3 linked regions of the Lonchura striata genome follow. The protein of the gene in region 1 interacts with the protein of each later gene in a biochemical or structural test. Links are inferred from orthologs where the notes say so. Each region holds a gene or a part of one and is shown on either strand. Other genes may lie near its edges.

What was found.
Region 2: the proteins of CTSB (region 1) and cystatin-A-like form a complex in vitro, tested with the Homo sapiens proteins (3 studies listed by BioGRID and IntAct, with this or other methods). The link is inferred for Lonchura striata from reciprocal best matches to the Homo sapiens genes CTSB and CSTA.
Region 3: the proteins of CTSB (region 1) and cystatin-B form a complex in vitro, tested with the Homo sapiens proteins (2 studies listed by BioGRID). The link is inferred for Lonchura striata from reciprocal best matches to the Homo sapiens genes CTSB and CSTB.

What each region holds. Positions count from the first base shown.
Region 1 is NC_134605.1:110,603,069-110,610,312, reverse strand, and holds the start of CTSB (cathepsin B), read right to left. Parts: upstream 3,013-7,244; 5' UTR 2,880-3,012; intron 2,680-2,879; exon of another isoform or gene 2,204-2,679; intron 1,660-2,203; exon of another isoform or gene 1,582-1,659; intron 1-1,581. UniProt on the Homo sapiens protein: Thiol protease which is believed to participate in intracellular degradation and turnover of proteins. Cleaves matrix extracellular phosphoglycoprotein MEPE. Involved in the solubilization of cross-linked TG/thyroglobulin in the thyroid follicle lumen.
Region 2 is NC_134604.1:29,252,314-29,259,557, forward strand, and holds the start of cystatin-A-like, read right to left. Parts: upstream 3,018-7,244; 5' UTR 1-3,017. UniProt on the Homo sapiens protein: This is an intracellular thiol proteinase inhibitor. Has an important role in desmosome-mediated cell-cell adhesion in the lower levels of the epidermis.
Region 3 is NC_134604.1:29,232,292-29,240,134, reverse strand, and holds the start of cystatin-B, read right to left. Parts: upstream 3,018-7,843; 5' UTR 2,948-3,017; coding exon 2,882-2,947; intron 1-2,881. Other genes in the region: CASR (extracellular calcium-sensing receptor), read right to left, coding at 6,876-7,843. UniProt on the Homo sapiens protein: This is an intracellular thiol proteinase inhibitor. Tightly binding reversible inhibitor of cathepsins L, H and B.

The DNA.
Region 1 (7,244 bases):
GGAAGGAATTTGGAATATTGGGAAAGAATTGTTGCCTGTGAGGGTGGTGAGGCACTAGAACAGGGTGCCCCAAGAAATGGGGGATGCCTCATCCCAAAAAACATTCAGCGTCAGGTTGGACAGGGCTCTGAGCAACCTGACATACAGCTAAAATACACAGTTAAAATGTCCCTGCCCATGGCAAAGAGGTTGGAATGATATGCCCTTTTAAACACTCCTTCCACCCCACATCTTTCTATTATTCTACGAGGTCTCCTATGGCTGCAGAGTTTGGGGTGGTGAGAGCTGACACCCAAGATCAGGTATGTCACGATCTGTCTGGAAAAGGAAGGGGAAATCCTCACCCCCGTGGGATTTCTTCCTCCCTAACCCCCCCTCTCCCAGGCTTTATCCTGTGTTCAGCGGGTCTATAAATAGGACACAGGCACGGGACTGGCAGGACGGATTCCCACTGACCGTGGCTCATGTGCAGCCCAACCACAACAAGCCCAGAGACCCGACAGTGACTAAAAGCTGCTGGTTTCCTCCCTCACCCCCTGTCCCAGCTGATCCGAGCAGCAAAGCTTCCCCTGGCAGTGTTATCACCCTGGTGCTTCCCCCAGCACCGCTATCTCCTCCTCACACCTAAAACCTCAGGGCCGTTTGAACCCCAGAGCAGCCCCAAAACCAAAATTGCATCGCAGCTGCCGCACCCCAACATCTGCTCCCCGCTTCGTGCACAGCAAACAGGGCAGAGGAGTTTCCCCAGGAACCCCAGCAGATCCTTTCCCTCTGCACCCCACAACATCTCCAGAGGTGCCTCAGCTTCAGGATAACCCTGGCTAAGGCTGATCCACAGCTCACATCCCACCACCCTGGAAACAACACAAGGCTCTTGGGCTTCTCAGGACACAGCAGCTTCACCCTGCAGAATTCCCCAGGTGGCAGGAGATGTCTGGGGCGGGCAAAGAGCCCCTTGGGTTGCTCCACCTTCCCCTGGACTGAGAGCAGGGAATACTTTGAGATCCAAAGCATCTGCTAATGTCATTTCTTGAAGGATGAAGAAGAAATAAGCAAGAAATGAACACCCACCAGCACACCTGCCCCTGGGTGGGACAGGACACTCACGATTCAGCCAGCTGGCCGCTCAGAAAGAGGAAATTTGGGCCAGCTGAGCACAGCCCCTCTCCCAGGCAGAGAGGAGGAGGCAGCGGAGGTTCTGCAGGAGCTGCTGCAGCCTGCGAGGGAGGAGAGCACCCGCAGGGCTGTGGCTGTGCTGGTGCTGCAGCATCCACCCACAGCCCTCTGAGCTGCCGCAGCGGAGGAGGAGACACCACCCAAGAGCCATCTCCATCCCTCCTGAGCAGGTCGGGGAGCCAGGGCAGCTCCCCGCCTGTTTTCTGGAGGATGGAGCTCCTGACAGTCGAACCCTGGCATCCCAACCTCAGCAGGACCCCACATCACCCTCCCAAGCAGCCAAGCAGCGAATCCCTTCACTCTTGGGTGTCCTTCCCCAAAACAAAGCCCACAAGTCCCATTTAACTTCATTTAAGAAAAAGCAACAACCCAACCCCCAAACCGGCTATTCCGAGCCCAGCTCACATGACTCAGCCGAGGCAGCTCAGACCACAGATAAGACACAGCCCTGCAGCATCTCCCAGCTCTGCACTGTCTGGGCCAACCCCCTGCAGGCACAGACAGAGGCGTCCACACCTCCTGCAAGGCTCTGAGGAAGGTAAAAGCTGTCCCACCCTCCCTTCCACAACACCCCCCAGCCCTCCAGGGGTGCTCAGCACAGCCCAAATCATGTGTCCTGCTCAGCACCAGCCTTTGTCCTTTGTTCTCTCTGCCAGGGCTTGTGACTCCAAGCCACAACAAAGCGAACCCAGCGAGGTTCAGCTCCAGCTCCCGATCCAGCTCAGCCTGCTGTGTCACCAGGTGAGCTTGGCAGCACCAAACCCGTGCTCTGCTGACTTCATCACAGCTCTCGCTGCCTTACCGCAGCTTAAATTATTTTTTCATCGAGAAAAAAACAATATCAGGCGCTCCTCCCTACGCTTATTCCCTCCTAGCAAAGCCGGATCACTAACACAGGTCAGGTAACAGAATCCTAGAGATCTGAGTTGGAAGAGATCCTAAAGGTGATCTAATTTCAACCCTACTAGACCTGGCTGCTCTGTATCTGACAAAGTCATTCCCTCCTGAGACAAGCTGCAGCACTCACCTCCGCAGCTTCCGTGCACAGAAAGCACAAGATTCTTCCCAAATGAAGCTGTACTGATTTTTAATTCCCTCTTCTTACAGACCAGCCCATAAACCAGAGTCTTGCACAAACCCCCACACACCCCGTGCTACGGAAATCCCTTCCTTCGAGGGAAATGCCAGGAGGAAGCGATCTTTGCTACCTCACGCCCGCAGAGCATCCCCGAGAGTGGGATACGGGGATGGGAGATTTATTCCAGGCCAGAGGGACGCAGGGCAGCTTCTCCAGCGCCATTCCCAAGCCGTGGTCCCGCTCCGAACCCAGGCTGGGCTGTGCATCACGGGATGCTCCCAGGGTGCCAAAGCGACCTCGGCGTCAGCTGACGGGCAGAGCTGCGCGGTTTTCCTGTCTCGATCACAAAAACAAGGCTTCCTCTCCCCTCCCGTGACCTTTCTTGAAGGTTTGATGCGTTTCGAGGGTTCATTTTCCGGGCAACAATCCGCGCCGCAGCGCATCTCCCTCCCTCACCCCGCATCCCGCATCCCGCACTAGCCCAAAAAAATCCCCCAAAACGCCGCTGGAAAAAGCGGGAGACGCTGCTGCTGTTGTCCCTGCGGGTGCTCCGTGGCTCTCACGGAGCCGTGCAAGGGGGTGCCCCATTGCCGTGTGCCCTGGCCCTAAGCATCCCCTCCCTTACCGCTTCTTACGCGCGTCCGCGGCTCTCCCCGGGACCCACCGGGACCCACCGGCGCTCACGGCCCCGCTCGGCAGCCACGGCCAGGGCAGCTCCCGGAGGCTGAGTCATGCCGGGCTGCCCGCCCCCGGCGTGACAGCATCCTGCCTGCTGCCCGCCCCCAGAGCCCGCCTCCCTCCCTCCTTCCATCCTTCCAGCCAGCCGTCCCTGCTCCCGGCTCCATCCCTGCTCCTCCCTGCTTCCCTCCTTCCTCCCTCCTTCCTCCATCCCTGCTCGTCCCTGCTTCCCTCCTTCCTCCATCCCTGCTCCTCCCTGCTTCCCTCCTTCCTCCATCCCTGCTCCCGGCTCCATCCCTGCTCCTCCCTGCTTCCCTCCTTCCTCCATCCCTGCTCCTCACTGCTTCCCTCCTTCCTCCATCCCTGCTCCCGGCTCCATCCCTGCTCCTCACTGCTTCCTTCTTTCCTCCTGTCTGCTTCCCTTCTGCCTCCATCCCTGCTCCTCACTGCTTCCCTTCTTCCTCCATCCCTGCTCCCGGCTCCATCCCTGCTCCTCCCTGCTTCCCTCCTTCCTCCATCCCTGCTCCTCCCTGCTTCCCTCCTTCCTCCATCCCTGCTCCCGGCTCCATCCCTGCTCCTCACTGCTTCCTTCTTTCCTCCTGCCTGCTTCCCTTCTGCCTCCATCCCTGTCCCTGCAGGCTTCCATCAATCCTGCCTGCACCCCTGCTCTGCTTCCATCCCTCCGTCCCACCTGCTTTTCATACCTCCATCCTTCCTGCATCCTTCCTTCCTCAATTCCACCTCCAGCCCACCTGTATCCCTCCTCCAGCCTGTCTCTGACCTTCCTCGATCCCAAAGATGTTCTGCCCCTGCCATCCCGTCCTGCATCTTCCCTCCTGCCTTTTTCCCTTTGTGCTGCACTCCATCCCATTTCCTTTTCACCTTCCAAGCTGCCTGATTCCTCCTCAATCCCACCTGCATCCCACCTTTATCCTGGTTTAATCCCATCCATATCCTTCCTGCTTTCTTCCTCCATCCCATCTCCATCCCATCTAGTTTTCCTCCAGCAACCTGTCTGGATTTTTCCTGTATCCCACCCTTTGCTATCCTGTCTCCATCCTGCCTCTATACCTTTTCCTTCCCATTTCTCTCCTCCAGCTGGCCTCTCTCCCATCTACTTTTCCTCCTCCAGCCTGCCTGTATCCTTCCTAAACCCTTCTGCATCCCACACGCATCCCTTTTCAACTCCACCTGCATCACACAGGTTGCCCAGAGAAGCTGTGGCTGCCCCTGGATCCCTGGAAGTGTCCAAGGCCAGGTTGGACAGGGCTTGGAGCAGCCTGGGATAGTGGAAGATGTCCCTGCCCATGGCAGGGGTGGAATGGGATGAGCTTTAAGGTCCCTTCCCCCCCAAACCATTCTGGGGTTCTGTGATCCTCCTGCTTCCCTCTTCCAGCCTGCCTCTCTCCCATCTAATTTTCCTACTCCAACCTCCTTGCACCCCACCACTATCCCGTCTCCATGCTGTCCTGTCAGCATCTCTTGAAGTTTTCATCTGGAAATACAGAAATATTTCACTGTGTTACTGTGCTGACTGACACTTTTTCCCTCATTTTGGCCAATCTTCAGGAGTATGAACAACAGAAAAATAATCTCAGGAACCAGTTTCAAGCCCTGTACTAAACCACAATTACACTAAACCTTCTCTTTAATGAGAAAAACTATATTTTTTTATTATTTTATCACCCTTCTCTGTGAGGAGGAGGTAAAAACTATACTCCCCACCATTCTCAGAAATGAAAAGACCATGTGGCCTGGATCAAAAAAATAATTAATCAGTGATCAAAAAACAGTGAGCATATTCCTTTTTCCCCCTGTTTCCATTTATATCAATCAATTTTTTGTCACACTCACATTTTAAAGGTTGATTTTGGTTTGTGAAGATTTCCTAGTGAAGTGATGAGAAAAATCAGAATAGCATTTAATACACTTGACTGTACAACCCAGCATTTAGGCAGTAAAATGGGAGATGTATTTGATGTGTTTAAATGTTTTTATTCTTCGATGCTCTGTGTGCAATGGCCCTTGGACCATTGCATGCCTTTGCATGTAATATTTAACCACCCCTTCACTATGTTTTTATTTGTGCCTTAACAATTAAAATATTTTTTTAAAAAATCAGTTGTAATTTGCCTGACTTCCCTCTGACTCCACAGGATTTCTTCTCTCTCCTTTGAAGGTTGATTTCAGTTTTCCACATTGTCTGCAAGGTTTTATTGGCATAAAATACAGGAGAAATAACCTGGATTTTGTCCTGCCCTTTGTACAATCTGGCTCCAAAAGCCTCAGTGCCTCCAGTTGTGTGGAGCTGCAGTCAGGACATCACTGAACTCTGATTTATTCCAGTAACTCGGTCAGTTCCCTCTGAATTCCCCACACCTCCTTATTTCCAGCTAGCTTTTCACCCAGAAGTCACAAAATAGTGATTTTAAACCTGTGCAGTCCCATAAAACACCTTTTATTTTGCCTTGCTCTGAGTCACCAGGGAGCCCATCCTTCAGGCTCTGCTGGTGTCCTCTGTGGGCTGAGGGACCAGCCACCTGTTTTCCCTACAAAGATTTGGTGTCTTTTTCAAGAAATGAAAGTATGAACTAAAATTTTGCACAGAGTGCTGACTTTCTGCCCTTTTTGAGGAAGTGTCAAAGTTGCTTCCCCTATTGCTGTTAGTCTGGACTGAGAACATGTCAGTTTTTGAGATAATATGATCATTTTTGAGATAAAATGCTCCAGAGGCTGGAGCTCTCAAGCCTGGCTGGGAGAGCTGGGGGTGCTCACCTGGAGAAGAGAAGGATCCAGGGAGAGCTCAGAGCCCCTTCCAGTGCCTAAAGGGGCTCCAGGAGAGCTGGAGAGGGACTTGGGACAAGGGATGGAGGGACTGGACAAGGGGCAATGGGTATGATGGGATATTGGGAAGGAATTGTTCCCTGTGAGGGTGGTGAGGCCTTGGCACAGGGTGCCCAGAGAAGCTGTGGCTTCCCTGGAAGTGTCCAAGGCCAGGTTGGATGGGGCTTGGAGAAACCTGGGATAGTGGAAGGTGTCCCTGGCAATGGCAGGGGGTGGAATGGGATGAACTTTTAAGGTCATTCCGACCCAAACCATTCTGTGGTTCAATTATAATTTGTTTTTATATATGATGCTGAATGCAGCCAGGAAAGTTTCCCCATTTGAGACTTCCCAGAGAGTTCAAAAATCCCTTGTGTGCCCAAACCAGGCATGAAACAAATCCCCTTTTTATCTCATCGTATTTTTATAGCATATCAGAAAAAAAAAAAAGAATGGTGTTTGCTGAGGCTTTGGCCTTTGGAACAAAATCCAACACTACAGGAACAAGATAAGGAAATGGGTCAGGAGGCCTTGGGCAATCTTCTCTTATCACTTGTTAAATCAGTGTTGATTGAATCATGGTGAGCCTGCTTCAGCACTGAACAACAAATAGCTCTTAAGGAGGCTGCTGAAGGACCAACACCTATAGGTTTTAGAAAAAAATTTCTGTGTATATTCATTCCCTACCATAATATTTTTGTGGTCCTAATTAATGCAGGGGTGGCTTTTTTCATCTTCAGGGTTTAAAACCATCATTGCTTACAAAAAGAGCATGAAATGCAGGTTTATTTAATAACCAAATAGATCTGCTTTGCTTGGGGTAGTGGTGAATTGTGCTCCTCCCTGAGCTCAAAGCCTGTCTGGGCTGCTGGATCTCCTTTGGGGAATATCCACCCAGATTTTTCCTGATTCATCATTTTCTGATGCTTTTAAACTGTAATTTTACTGCTCAAGCAGCACTACAATATTTGCTTCTGAAGTTTTTTTAATTCCTGGCTCTTTGTCCCTCTTTGAACATCATCCCAGGAAGTGTCCAAGGCCAGGTTGGATAGGGCTTGCAGCAACTTGGGATAGTGGGAGCTGTCCCTGGCCATGGCAGGGGGTTGAAAGGAGACAAGCTTTAAAGTTCCTTCCAACCCAAGTATTTCTGTGACTCCAAGATTTCTGTGGCATGATTTGGCAGCTGACTTGCTCTCCCTGGCAGCAGCAGAACATCTGTGAGGCCTTGATGGGAATAATGATGGTTATTACACGGCTGCATCAGCTGCCAAGGTAAAATACTCACCCAGGGCAACTAAAACAGGATTTTATAAAGCCATAACGCTGCCTAAGAAATCCTTGCTGGATGGGTTGGGCCCTGATGTTATCCTCACCTCTCCCATGGGAGCTGGGTAATCCTGAGCTCCAATCCTCACCCCCCAAGCATTCAGTGTCTGCCAGAGTCACAGCTGGAGCACGTGGCTTTAAAAAACTCACTGGAATATGCCTT
Region 2 (7,244 bases), on another chromosome or scaffold:
TTGCTGATAAAAACACCAGTACAAAAAAAAGCAAAAAAAATTAACCTCCACCAAATCCAAACCCCAGGGTTATGTATTTACAAGTAATTTTTAAAGCAGGAATGAAGTCAGCTCTGTAGAAATGATTGTGAAAGCCAAGTCAGTAAGGTCAGTCTTCTGGTTTCACAGTGACATGTAATTGTGGCTGCACATGACATGATCTGAATGTCTTTAAGAGCTTCTAGAGGAAAGCAGCCCTCCATGTACCAGGTGAAGATCTGCTCTCATCATCACAGGAACAGCCTTGATTTTCAATGTGCTGGTCTGCAAAAAAGGCTTCCACTCCTGCTACCCATCCCAATTTTGAAAGATTTCTGACATTGTACATGAAAAAGGATCAACAGAAACCTGACCTTCAGCAGCACAGTTATCATGGCCCAGCCTATGCTGAGCCTCTTCCTCTCAGTCTGCTTCAAGACAACTGAAATCTACTGTTAAAAATATTCTATAAAGAAATTACCTGTTTCATCAGTCTTTCATGCCTACAGGCTGCAGAAGACAACAGCACTGAATGCTAGAAAAAGAACAACACATCTTTCTATTTCACAGAAAGAAAGGTGCACAAGCTTGAGAGGACTTTCCAAGCATGTGGGATCTGCCCACCTCTGTTCACCACCTGCAAGCAATGGGAAAGCCCTAGTGGGAGAGGCAAGGCATCCACAGGACTCTGGACACGGCCATCAGCTATGCTCAAATGTCTTTACTTGCAGAAATAGAACTTAAAACCAGAGAAAGGAAGAAATTCTGCTGTTTGTAGTGTCCACTATTTGACCCCAATATGACAGCAAACAGTAATTTTGTAACTACCTCAATGGTAATGTTGAGGCAAGGTTCAATCCCTGACTAAACACCATCCTGGAATCCTCAGGGGTCCCTAGACACAGAATTTACCGGCCTGTGTTCAGTGTGGCACACAGCTCACACCGATGCTGTTTGCACACATTCCAGAACATCCTGCTCCACACGCAGCTCTGAGGCTCTCAGGAACCAGCAGAGCCGTGTCCTCCAGCCCGCACCCAAAGCGTGGCATGCACTTCTATTTACTCACCTTCATGTTCCATCAAGTTCAACAGCAACGTTAAGCTGCCTCTGAGCCACCAGATTTGCTGTGGACTACTGTTAAGAGACACCCCCTGCACTCAGAGCAAACTGTATAAAGCAATTCAATGTCTTACTGCAACCCTCTGTATGCAATCACCCCAAGAAGGGATGCTGGGGATTCAGGAGTCTTCTCATGGTAGCAGTTTTCCATACTCAGGTTTGTATAGGACTACTAGCTTGGCCTTATATTCAAACTGAAAATAATTCTGTGTTGGGCTGAGTTTTTGGGGTTGTGGGTTTTGGGATTTTTTTAACATAGTTTTCCTCATAACTAATGCAAAAAAAAGAAAAAAAAAAAAAAAACTGTGTATCACATCCATTTCACAGGTAATTTATCACAGCATCTGCTTAAGTGAAGAAGCTTTCCACAACAGCTGAGCAAACATCTGGATGGATAAAGGAAGACAATGATTAATTCTCATTACAGTCTCTAGTTTATACAGAAATAAAAAATTATTATTTCAAGACTATTGACCCAAGTCTACACACACTCATAGAAGTTTCTATTGTACAACTGGCTAAAAAGGAGAATTTGTCCTTGCAGTTGATCCAAGGCCTGGAGAGAACAAATATTTTAGACACCTATCCTTGTAGAGTGTCTAATAAATAATGAAGTACCAGCTTTGAAACCAAAACTTAGTGTTCTATACATCTCATTAATTGATCATCGTCTCCTGTTGAAATTTCTTTAGTGCCAATTCAGCCCAGAGTGATGAGCAGTATTTGATTTACACTTTGATGACAAACAATTATAAGAATTTAACAACTGAAGAATAAACACATTTTCTGCTTTCAGAGTTGCAGAAAAACAAGGAGAAATCTTCAAGAATGAGTGCTCCAACGCAAAGTTCTGGATAAAGAAGTTGCAGTACTTCAAGAAAAAAAGAGGGGGAAAAATGATGTTTGAACATTAGGATTTACATCCTCAAAGATTTAAAATATATTTCTACTTCATTCTCAAAAAAAGGTGAGATAAAATGACCCTGATGCCTAAAAATAAAAGGCTTCCAAGCAGTTTGAGTCTTAACTGCAACTATAAAACAGATGCTGCTGCACAGATCTTTGCCAGCTCTCAGTAACACAGGTACATTGCTTCATTTATTTCCCACTCCCTATATATGCAAAGCTTTAGGGATGTGAGAGTATATCCAGTAATTTCATTGCTGTTGCTGAATTCCAAAGTATTTGCAAGACAGGGCCTGTATTTTTAGGGATCTGTTTAAGTTCAGTGGTTCTTAAGATCGTATCAGCTGGCAACCACGCAGACCTTGTCACTTCACTGTCAGCCTATCTGAGATAAATACAAAATAAAAAGTAAAATATACAGGTGTAATTGCAACAATTCAGCTTTCCTCCTACTTATCTGCCTTTAAATGCTGTGTTACTGCAGGGGTGCTGCATTCAAGCTTTCTAAACACAACACCACGGCCAGGATCAGCAGGATCAAGTATGCACAGCTGTTTCCTCAGCTCAAACACAATTCACCCTTAGAACTACTCTTAAATATTCAGAGAGAGGGACAAAAAAGGGTCCCTGGCAGTCTCATTCCCAAATGAGACACATCTTCAGCTCCAACGTTACGTGGTTTTAATATACACCACTTCCCCTGTACAATGGAAAACTCCAGAACTTGCAAACACAGACCAAAGGGCAGCAAGCAACAGATGCTGCCTGTCAGCATTGCAGGAGCAATGGCAAACCTGTGCCTATACACAGCTCTGAGCCACTGCTGCTCATGCTGAGCAGTTCAGAACAAGGCTGGTCACGTCTTACTTTCAGCAATGCTGAATCTAATACATCTGTTGATCAGTCTGCAATTTTTACTTCCTTTCAGACTTCAGCAGATTATTTCCACAAAAAGAGTATGTTCACTGATATTTTAGTAGGCACCAGCTCAGGGAGAGCCTTCTCCTCCCTGCTCAGGATAGGTTTTACTCTTTCTTCCCCTCTGGGATCACTGAAGCTGTGGAAGTTCAAGAAAGATGCCAGTTTTGCATTCCGATTGAAAATTGTTTTAATACTATAAAACTCATTTGTTCACATATTTTGTACAAAAGATGAGTTGTTTTCTCTTAATTACAGGAGAATCATTTCAAGTTGAGAATTCATCTAAGTAGGTCCAAAACAAAACAAGACTGGGTTCTACTGGTTCTGGAGGGTCCCAATTCAGCTCACCCAAGGTCTCTTTCCAGTTTTGCTCTCACAGTTATGGACCACCTTGATGGAAAATACCCCACATCATCATTGACTCTTCGGAGGCTTGTAGTGAATTCGGCACCGCTCATTAAATACCTGAGACACCAAAACAGAAGAGCAAAAGTGAATCAACCCCATCCAGGAAATGAGCAGAACTTCACAGACTACTTCTTCATGTAGCACCCATCTCAAGCTGCCCAGCTCTGAGGTATCAATAAATGGCACTTACCAAGACATCCATCTCCATTCACCTTGACTCCTGGCTTTAGTAAATCCAAAGTCTGCAGCCTGATGTTGGGAGACTCCACAGCACTAAGTGTTCTCCCTCAGAAAATGCAGACTCTTAATCCTGGCAGGCTGTTACCATCAAAAATGCTGATGCCTTTTTGTTTTTAAAAGAGAGGGAAATAATCATGGGAAGGCTCCTGAATGGTTGTGTTCTATTAGGTTCACTCTGGCATTCAAACTTGGGTGCTGAATTCCTGTCTTTCCTGAGCAGGCACATTTTACATTGGCATGACAGCCAAGAAGAGGGGCAAGGGCTCCTGAAAGCCACATGCACACTTCCAGTGACCTGCCTGCCTGTGCCAATGCTGCCAGCACTCCGTGCAAAGGGCACAGCACCCCTGCCTCACTCACCTCTGGCATCTTCTCTGGGTAAAATTTAGCCTCCAGAACTGGACGCTGAGAATTGTGTATATTTAGCTTCAACTGCTGCCATCCTACCCTAAGGAGGGCCAAAAAACGTGACTATTTAAAGAAAGGCAGCCTGAATCCAAAGCAAACCACACAGCCTCCCACCAAGGTTGCAAGTGCTCTTCATAAGCCATTTAGATTTATCAGTTTTTATCCAAATTTGTCCAGCACAAGTCCTGAAAGCGACACAAGCACCACCTGACACCAAGCTGAGGCTCTGGCAGGTTGTTTGTTGGTTGTCCCGCCAGCATTCCCACAAGAGCATATTTTGCCAAGCTGTCCAGAGATGTGGCAGACCCAAGTGCCTGTGATCATCAGGATATGAAGTTTCATGAACTCTCCCAATGGCTTTATGTGCAAAGTGAGTGATCTTGTAATTTTGGGGAAGTTATCCAACACTTTATATAAATATACAGTTTCAAGCTGTATCTTCCTAAAATCTTCTAGAGCAGATCTTATTCACAGTTCAGAACCTACGGCAACTTCAGCAAAAGTGAAGCCTGGAGCACACATTAGTTTCAGCATTACTTCTCAACAATTTTGGAGCAATTTTCAACTACCTTTCAAATTTAATTTATTTAAAGAAATAGACATGTATTACAAACTGATTCATACTGCAGAAAGCAAAAGCTGTGATATAGTTTCTTTCACACACAGTAACGTGCAGCCATTATGTTACCACATGGAATGGACACCTCTGGAAAAGTTCAGGTGAGGTAAAGATTTGAGATCAGTGATAGGAAGAAACTGTAGAAATTAAGAGCAACAGCATGAAGTCCAATTCAGAAACATTTTACTCAAGAACAAATCACACCGTTTTTTGTCCATTGTCTGTTAATGACATTTGAATGGAATAATGTCTAAAAGGGTGCTGGAAATGCTCTCTAAAGCACTGCAAGGGTCTCTAACATCAAAGAACACACCAGCTTGCTTGCTATCACACTAACTTTCAAAGTATCTTCAACAGTAACTCCACAACCTATGGCAGGAAGACCAACACTGCACTCTTACTAACACTGCCTCCTACTTTTAGGATCATTGCCTCACAGATCTTAGTGTTACTTAGTGTTACTAAGGCCATTTAACTCCATTGGTCTACTTGTAAAGTGCTAGTCTCATTTATCAGACATTTTTCAGGAAAATCAATGGCTGAGAAACATTAAAATGCATGTAACTATGCAAAAGTTTGATTTTGCTGGCTTTTACATATTTGCATAAACCACTCCAACAATAAACTCCAATCTCCAATCTAGAGGTGCTGGATAGAGACTACTGCAAGTGTCTTGTTTGAAACTCTATTCCTGGTATGGTATGATCCAAATTCCACATGCATTTCTCAAAAGGAGCATTCTGTATGCCACTATTGCTACAGCCTCTAGTGTTTAAACATCTGTTTCCTAATCAGATTTTTCCCATTAGTTTTCAGTTGTTTAGGATTAATGGACATACACAAGTGTACTTCCCAACCAGAAGTCCACAAAAGTGAAACACCAGCCTGCACACCAATAATCATATCCATGTAACAAATTGCATTCAGTCTGCAACCATGACTGGTTCTAACTGACATTTTAACAAGCAGCTAAAGGAGAAATTTATGTGTATATTCAGAGCACAGTGTAACAGAACTGGAGATAAAATTCAGAAATATTTATCTCTTCAAGCCCCACTCTGAACATTGGCTGAGGAATATACCAGCAGCCTAAAGTACCCCTACACCATGCATACCTCACTGTTTATAAACTCTCCATCTTTAGGAAAAAATTAGACAGTTCTGCCACCAGTAAAAGCTTAATGCAGCTACAAGAAGCCTCCAGAATCATTACTAAATTTGGTGCTTCAGAAGGAAGATTAGGGTGGGGGCTGTTCCCCTGTAGCAGAGTCACTGTAAAATATTTGCCCCTGGTGACCTGCAGCATGTTGTTGTTAAGGCAGTGGCATCGCTTAGTCAGATCTGAGTGGGTTTAAAACTACACTGAAGTGCATGCTTAGCTTTTTTGGGACAGTACTACAGAGGTGTACTGATGACAATGCATATGCAGAAAACTGTGTAAATGCTCATTTCATCAGCCTGCACTGAGGTTACTGATGAACACCCAAGACACAAAGCTGTATTGGTTTTACACTGGTGTAATCTAGGAGACTAAAATCATGAAGTAGGGATTAAAAAGGAAGGTGCAGCTAGTAGTGGCTATTTGCAAAAATCCTTTTTGCATTTAGAGAGGGAAAGAGGTTCTCTCTGCAGTACTGAAAGCTCTGAGAAGCTACATCAAACCAGCAAAGGATGCCAGATGTGAAATGCTGCAGTGACGCAATACAGCCACCTCAGAACTTAAGCTCAGTGCTAAAATCACCGGATAGACTTCAGGGCCATCATCCAGATGGTGATCTGCACCCTCTGCTGACACAGGAGAGCAACGGCAAGGCTGCCCTCTGCACCACGGAGTGTCTGTTCAGGCCCGAAGAAACTCCATCAGGAAAAGGTTCAGCTTCTACAGCCTCACCCTCCCCTGGGCTCTGCTCAGAGTTGTGATCAGCACCAGATACAGGCAAATGTGAAAGACTCTTCTCTCAGACATTGTTAGAGGCCCTGAAAAGCTCTTCAGAGAAGTCACCACAGAAAAGCCTACAAGTGCTCAGCCACTGGCAAGGGGGAGAAAGGGACACAGGGAATAATTCACAGTCCTTCCTTGGCAGTGCAACTGAAGAGCTTTGATCTCTGCTTACAGAACTGGGAAAATTACTGACTTGAAGCATTTCCCCTAGCAGTGCCTTCATCTATTTCCAGTTAATCTGCTTCACAAGGCACCAGTCCCACACCTCCAGTGCAGGACATCTGTTGCGATGTCTGTTGGGACAGGACATCATCACTATTAAATGACTGAGTACCTTCCAGCTTCTGTCGTTTACCACTTCTTCAACATTGAGCTCCGACTGCATCAATTTCAACTGCAGAAAATAAGAGATAAAAGGGTTATTGTCAAACTGCAGCCTTCAGTATTTACTACCAACACAACTTTCCAGCTCCTAACCCCAGCACCAGGTGCACACCTCCTCTGATGGTGCAAACCAAAGGACACAATGCATAGTCACCCTGGGAGCCTGTCCCTTCCAGTCAGCCAGTGCTCAAGGCACACACAGCTCCGCAAGGGCACAGTGAAGGCAGACTCACTAAACAAGCCTGGCAGTAGATCCTAATTACCCATGCTCTATTC
Region 3 (7,843 bases), on another chromosome or scaffold:
GAACCATTCCTGCAATGGGGTGTGTTCTCCCACCTCTCCAACTCCCAGAACTCTGGTGCCTTTTCAGTGACCATCCTGTCCCTGAGAGCTGTGACCATGCTTTTTATCTCCTCTCAGAGGCCATACCTCTACACTTCCTCCAGATTATGATCAGTATGTCACAAGCAAGATAATGATGTTTGAACACTTTCCTGTTTGTTCTTTGCCATACGGGAATCCAAGCTGCATTCTAAGAAACACCATGATTCACTCCTGCCTCCTCCCCTTCTCCCGAGTCAGAGGTTGGAGCAAGTGTTCAGTTTTCATCACACTTTTACAAATTTTAAGCAGCAGGGCAGACATAGGTCTCCCACTGACCCTATCCTGTCCTGTGCTCCTTTAGCAATCCTAGGCACTGGGCAGCATTAGTTTCTGAGGTCACTCAATCACTCCAGCTCAGCACATTTTTTGTTTCCACCAGGAAGCTGAACACTGGACCCTGGCTACAGACAGCTCAGAGTCCTGCAGCTGCAAGCTTGTCAGGGTGTTTGTGAGTCACCACAGCATGTGACAAACCAGCATCCTGCCTCAGTGTGCAGAGGGAGATCCCAGACAGAAATACTCTCCCAAAGACCTGGTTCTTGATCTCAGTCTGGATTTGGGAATCCTGGAGTACAGGAGCCAGCACTGTGTCCTAGTGGTACAAAGTTAATGGCATACTGGGCTGCATCAGCAGGAGCCTAGCCAGAAGACAGGGGAGTGATTATTACCCTTTACTCGGCCTTTGTCAGAAAATGTGGAATCCTGCACCCAGTTCTGGGCCCCCAGTACAAGCCAGACACCAATGAACTGTAGTGAGCCCAGTGAAGGGTCACCAGGAGCACTCCACGAGCACACCAGGATGGCTGGAGCACTTGTGCTGTGAGGAGAGGAAGAAAATGAGCTTACTCAGCCCAGGGAAGAGAAGGCTTTGAAGAAAACTTTCCAGTACCTACAAGAAGCCAGGGTCTTTACAGGGATGAAATTTTCCACAGGGCACAAGAATGAGACACAGTGGTCATAAACTGAAACTGGAGGTTCAGGCTGGATATCATGAGAAACCTTTCCCCTGAGGACTGCACTACAGCAGGAGTCCATCCTTGGAAGTTTTCAAGACTGACAGGACAAAGTTCTGAGCAGCCTGAGGATGCTGACCCTGTGCTCATGCAGGAGGTGCAGTCCCTTCCCACCCAAACAATCCATGATTCAGTCACAGGGCTGGAAATGATCATGCCCTGAAGACTCTCCACTGCCCTGCATGGCCTATTTGCCCTGCACTGCCAGAGCAGTTAAATAAAAAGCAGATGGTTCACAATCACCCTGGATAAGCTCTGCCACAATTACCAGTGAGGAGCCAAAGCTGAACAGGCCTGGCTGGAAATCCTTGCTGTGAGGAGGCTGTTCCTATGGGATTCCTAAGCCAGACACTGCCAAAGGAAGCCTTCCTGCCCTGTGTGACACTACACCCGCTGTGGGTCACAAAACTGAACAACATTTGGCCATCACAAGGATGCTTATGAAACTGTAAAATGAAGGCAAGAACTGGAAAAGCAGGAACGGGGAATATGTTTATGGCAAGCAAACTGGCAGACTCTAATAAATCTCCAAAAAGACCTGACTTTTAAGCAAACAAAATTATTTGAGAAGGCTACATTGATTTAACAAAACTAATGTTTTCTCCAGCAGTGTCCAGATGAGAATCTGAGTGCATGGGCAAGTTTCAAGTGTGAGTTTTCCCACCTGTATTTCATTAAAGGAAGTAATTTAAACTGGCAGCCAAAACAAGCTGGATAAACTTTAAAAGTATTTACGTGATTTAAATGAGGGTTTTTTTGTTAATTCTGCTCACTTCTGAATCCAACAGGGTTTTGTTTTTGGATTATCAAACCACTGCAGTGTGCTACAGAACAAAAAGTCAGGATTTCAAACCTAGTTTTAAGCCCATGTTAAGTGCATATCTGCATTACCTTTAACGTGACATGTAAGCCTTTTCAGGTCAAAGCAATAATTGCAACTCTCAGCAATTCTCAATTATGTGCTTATTACTGCAAACTCAGGCTGGTGCTTAGGAGACGCACATCTCTCCCTTTTCCTAAAACACAGAATCCTCAGACTGTACAAGGCAAATGTTCATTTCAGTAGCTGCTGTGCCTCTGGGTGCTATGTATGTGTTTGGGAACTCCTCCTGCCTGGGGAACAGGCTCAGGCAATGACAAAGTGTCAGAAGCTGGAGCGCATTCTTAACTGTTGCTCTCTAGCTTACCACATCTTAGTCGACAAAGGCAAAAAGCAGAAGGAACTTGAGTTTCTGTGACAAAAAGAAGAACGTGTGGTTTGAAGGAACTTAGTTGCACGATGGCGTTTTTAGAGTAAAAGCATTTGCTCCAATAACACGAGCAGTAACCTCAGGTACTTTAAGTAGTATCAGGATTTGGAGCCGAATTCTGTGTTGGGGAAAAGCAGACGCAGCAAAGAAGCTTTCTTGCTTATTCCACGTTTCACCCCCTCAAAAATAAACACAACAAACAATCCCCCCTTTCCCAGGCACAGAACGAAAGCCCAAAGGCATGCACAGGGTCGGATTCTGTCAGCAGCACAGGAGCTCGCTCGCTGAAGGCAGTGGCTCTGCCGGGTTTCCCCGGCGCTGCCCACGGCCCCGCGGAGCCAGCCGGGCCGCAGGGAAGGAGCTCCGGGAGCCGCCGGCTGCTCCGCGCACGGCCCGTTCCTGCCCCGCTCTACACCGGGGGCGGCGTCCCGGCGCTCAGCCGCGGAGCAATGGCCGAGCCCACGCTGGGCCCCGGACAGGCCCGCACGGGCCTTCCCCGCCTGCGGGACGCTCCCGGGCCGCGCCCCGGCCGCTCACCTGCTCCGCGATCCGCTGCGTCTCCTCGGTGGCGGGCCGGGCCGCCGAGGCACCCCCGCACAACATGGCAGCGGCGGCACAGCGGCAGCAGCGGCGCTCCGCTCCGCCCGGGGCCGCCCCTCGGCCGTGCCGGGCGGTGCCGGGCCGGGCTGCAGCCCGCGGGCGGGAGCGGCCGGGCCCGGCTCCGCCCAGCCGGGCTGCGGTCAGCGCGGCCCAGCGGGACCGATCGAAGACAAAACCAGCCTGAGGCGACGCTCGCTGCCGGCAGGATTTATTCGGCGCCCCGCACGGAAGGGCTGCTCAGCGAGCGGCGCCTCCGTGCCAGCCCGGAGGGGACAGGGCCGCCGCCCTCAGCCGCTGCGGTTCCTCCCCGCGCCGCCTTTCCCCGCAGCGCCCCGCTCCCTCCGCCGCCTGGAAGCGGCCGTCTCCCGACTCCCTCGCTCACCACGTTCATCATTCCCTCTCCCACGCTGATTTTGCCGCCCCCCAGCCAGCAAGCTGAAGGCGGTGGTGAATTACCCAACCTCTGGGACATCCCTGGGGAGATTTTAGTTTGAACATTCAGGTCTTTACCTAAATTTCCTCACAATTTAAACATCCAGACTTGCAAAACCAACAACAAACACCTACCTTCCTCCTCCCACTTGGCAGCACCCCTTGGTAAATTTGGTCAATATAAACCTAAATTTAACAATAGCAGGTATTACAAACTGAACAGAGCTCACGGATTGATGAGGAGGACATGGTGAAATATAATGAAATATAATGGGGAAGGTTTTCTTTCCTCTGGTATAGTCTATAAATAAAGCCTCTGCTGGGGCTTTCAGTAGGCAGAGTTCTGCCAGGCTTGTCAGGAGACTGGGAATGAAGGGTTGGGCTCTTCACTGAGGTGGTTCCCAAGTTTTGCAGTGGAAATCCCACCAGAGACCTGATACACTGTTGTTGTTTCGCACTGGACAGTTCAGGAAACCTCACACTGAGGCAAACTTTCTGGTGGATTTTTGAGCCATGGTGGGTGGGATGAGGCATTCATGTGGGCATCTTCTGGTAGGAAATGTCAGTGGAGGTGCTCAGGCTTTCAACAGAAGAATGTTCCCCAGCATGACTTCATGAGTGCTGTCCGGAGCAAGCCTTCTCCTCTCCTGGACCTCACAGGATGAGAACATATCCACCTCTCCTTGCATGGGAAAAGGGATTTGGTTACAAAGCACCTTCCCAAAGGGGTCCTTTTTTACTGAACTTCCCTTGTGTCCAGCGTGTGTGCGCTGCTATCAGCTGCAGCAGCAGCTCTCATGCAGCATTGGAGCTGCAGGCTTAGGACTCCATGTATGAGAGCACGGAGGGTGAAAGGGGCTTCCCCAGCAAATACAGTGCAGTTGGCCATGCTAAAAAATGATTGCAGCTCTTGGAGACTCATTGTGTGCCAGGGTATAAATTCCTTTTAAGTAAATGTAAATAATTAAAAACACCCAAGGAATGAAAAGCACCCAAATGCATAGCTAGTATACACAGCTAGTGAATATTGCTCTCCAGACAAGGCAGCTGATGGTGACTTTCTGTTTCTTACATTGCCTGTGTTTGTACACAGTCTTTGGTTTGCACAAGTAAATGGTATTATTTTAATTTCATTCATTGAACTCTTACATGTTTCAGTGCTGTCAGCTTCACTTCAAGGGTTGTTGAGCTGGGTTTGCTCCAGTAGAAATGATTCACTAGCACTAAAACTACTTGGCTATTGGAATTTTTGGAAGTGTAGGCCATAACCAAAATGCCTTTTTTAGACCTCTCTGCCATCTAGTGCTCATCCCTGCTTGTGCAGTTAGATTCAGGAGCCCCTGGAGCTCAATTCCGTACCCTAAACTGAGCCCACTGCCACAGTCAGCAGCCTGGGGAAGGGACCTAGGTTTCAGAAGCAGTAAGCATCTCTTGTCTGGGTCCAGGGGCAAAATGTAGTTTCCAAAATTTGGGCTGGAAAGATTTGTGTTTTCAAACTCACTTCCCTCCCCCTCCCACCTCAATCATCTGAGTCAGATTTTTAATCAAATATTGTGATTTGCAAGCCTTGCAATTATAGTTGAGTTGGTCCTTATGTGGTGTAGTTAAAATTTGAGCCCAGTCCAAGGGGGATGTAACAGATCAACAAAAGGGTTATAACAACTGGTCTGAATAGCCTGCTTCTTCGGATTCTGGACTTCCACTTTGCTCCTGTTAGTCAAAACTTCTCTTCCTTGTCAACAAGTGGAGGTGGCAAAACAAAGTTTTTATACAGTAATCTCACCTGTAAGTTTTATTTGCCTGCCCTGGCAGAAGAACAACCAAGCAAAAACAATAACAAGAGAGTTGTGGTGTTTCCCCCAATGCATTTGAACACAGTCCTTTTGTCTCTTCTCACACTGAGCTGCAGGCCCATCTACCTTTCTAGAAGAGGTCTAGACTACCTTCATGCTCAATGAGGGAGGGTACTGACATCTTCCTGACAGATGCTTGATCTTCCATGGGGAATCTGGGAAGAAGGAATTAAATTCTGCAATGTAACCCTAGCCCTCCCTTCCAGGCTGTCCAGGGATGTTTCTTCTCTCATCAGGCTGCAACAAATCTCTCTGCAAATGACTCTCTTCAACTTTTCCAGCACAAATCAAAAAGAACGAGGCATGCCTTGAAAAACCAGGCGCACTTATGTCTGCTTTAGGAAGAGTAGGACAAGAGTAATCAAGTTCTGCTATGCTCTCTGCTGACATCCTTAGTGTTTTGCGTTAGGTACAGCCCACCATTCTTGTGATACGTCCACCTCTCTTCAAATTGAGAAATAACCTAGTAGGTGGCCTTTAGGAGCAAAACTGTATTCAGTTCATCTATTTGTCACTTATGTGTGTCTAAGAACCTAGGCCTGAATGTCTTTCTCACCCAGTCATCTACCATCATGAACACTTCAGATATTCACCTGCTCTGGTGATCCCATTACCTCCTCCATCCCTAACTCCTCCATTTCCCCTTGTTTCATTTGCTGTGTCAGGCCCACCAGTACCGCCAGGACTGTCGCAATGTTCTGTGTAGGTGTGAGGCAGATTAATACAGCAAAGCACAACACTGACTATGGTGTGAAAGGGTTAGCCATGTATGCCTTGTGGGATAGTACAGCAGCAACACTTGGTTAAGCACACAACTACTAGCGACATAATCAGGGATACATCTCATTGTGCTTTTGCAGCGTTCTCTGGGAGGGCTTTACAAGCTGTTCTCCCCCTCCACCAAAGCAGGCAGGCTGGAGGTAAAGCTATTCCAGTTGGAGGAAACCAGTAGGAACCTAAGTAGCTTGGTCTAGTGCAATGGAGTCTACGGAGAGTATTGTCCAGTATTTCCTGTTGGGCTGAAAGGAGAGACTGGGACATTACTAAATATAAATAGCAGGGCGCTCTGTCACATTAAATACTTTACATGTTCACACCCTTGGCTGTACACAGCATGCAGGATGTTGGGGGCTTTTTTATTTTCCCCATGATTGTGCTTTCCTGAAGTGAAACCGTGTACCTTGCTTTTGTAGAGCTGAGAGTCCTGACGCACATGGTTACAGATCACATATACTGGATAAAGAGGGAATATCATACATAGTGGGAAAGAGGAATATTATACATAAATGTAAAAGCAGGGTATAGTGGAATTGCCTAGTGCCTCCCATAGTCAGCTGAGTTGCAGTCTGGCAGGAAAAGCTTAAGGAGGCGAGGCAGCATGCAGACTTCTGCTTAAGCCCCACCCAAGGCGATCTTCACTTGTCCTTCTGAGATGTCCTGGTTTCAATAAAGCAAATGCAAATTCAGTCCAAGGCTCCCCAGACACAGTCCTTCCTCTGGAGGCACATGTGCTACCCTGCCGACGCTAACTTTAAGGTGTGGTGGGGCTGTATCACAGCAGTGTGTCTTTGTTACCTTTCCCGTTCAGAAGCAAGAGGTGAGCAAGTTCCTCTCGGGCCTGGTGTACTTTTCGCAATCTTCTTTCGTTAGGAATGTACCGTATTCTCTGTGACAGAGCCACCTCCGGCGCCTATAAAATTTCGGGAGTTAACCGACGGCAGGGAAGGCTCTGCCTCAGGGTTTGGTCCCTCTTCTTTGTTGTCTCCTGCCACCGACTCCTGTGAGCTGGTCTCTGGGCTGGAAGCTGCCTGGAAGCCAGGCTCAGCCCCGAGGGGCTCATTGATCTGCAGGGGAAGCAGGGCCCGGTGCCGCATCAGGCTGTCGTCACTGTTCTGGGCCTCCAGCGAGTTCCGGCGCTTGGCGTTCCTGCTGGCCATGGCGTTCTTCTGTGGCTCCTCGAAGCTCAGCGACAGGGTGACCGTTCCACTCCCAAAGCTGACTTTCTGCTTGCACCCGCGCTGCTGCTGGCGCTGCCGCTCGGCGCAGGCTGGTAGAGGAAAAGGGTCCTCGTGGTTGCTCTTGCTGCTGATGGAGGAGGAAGGGGTGGAGCCGGTGGAGCCTCCCAGGCTGTTGGAGCGCTTGCGGGACACGTTGCTCCGTCTCAGTGTGGCCCTGGCAGCCACTTTGAAAGCGTGGGCAGCTGTGCTGCAGCGCACCTCCTCGATTGTGTTGCGGGAGGGCTTGAAGAGGATGATGTAGACTTTGTTGAAGAAGATGCAGGCCAGAAGCCCAAAGCTGGCAGCCAGTATTGCAATCACTTCCACAGCAGACACGAACTTGCCGTACGTGCTGGCGTAAGCAGGGATGAAGGAGATCCACACGATGAAGAATATCAGCATGCTGAAGGTGATGAACTTGGCCTCGTTAAAATTCTCAGGCAGCTTTCGAGACTTGAAGGCGAAGAAGAAACAGATGGCTGCCAGTAGGCAGGTGTAGCCAATGAGGAAGCCGAGGGCCATCAGGGAGCCTTCATGGCAGGTGATAAATATGATCTCATCCTCCAGTTCATGGTTTCGGTAACTGGATGGTGGGGCCGTATAGAGCCAAATCACAC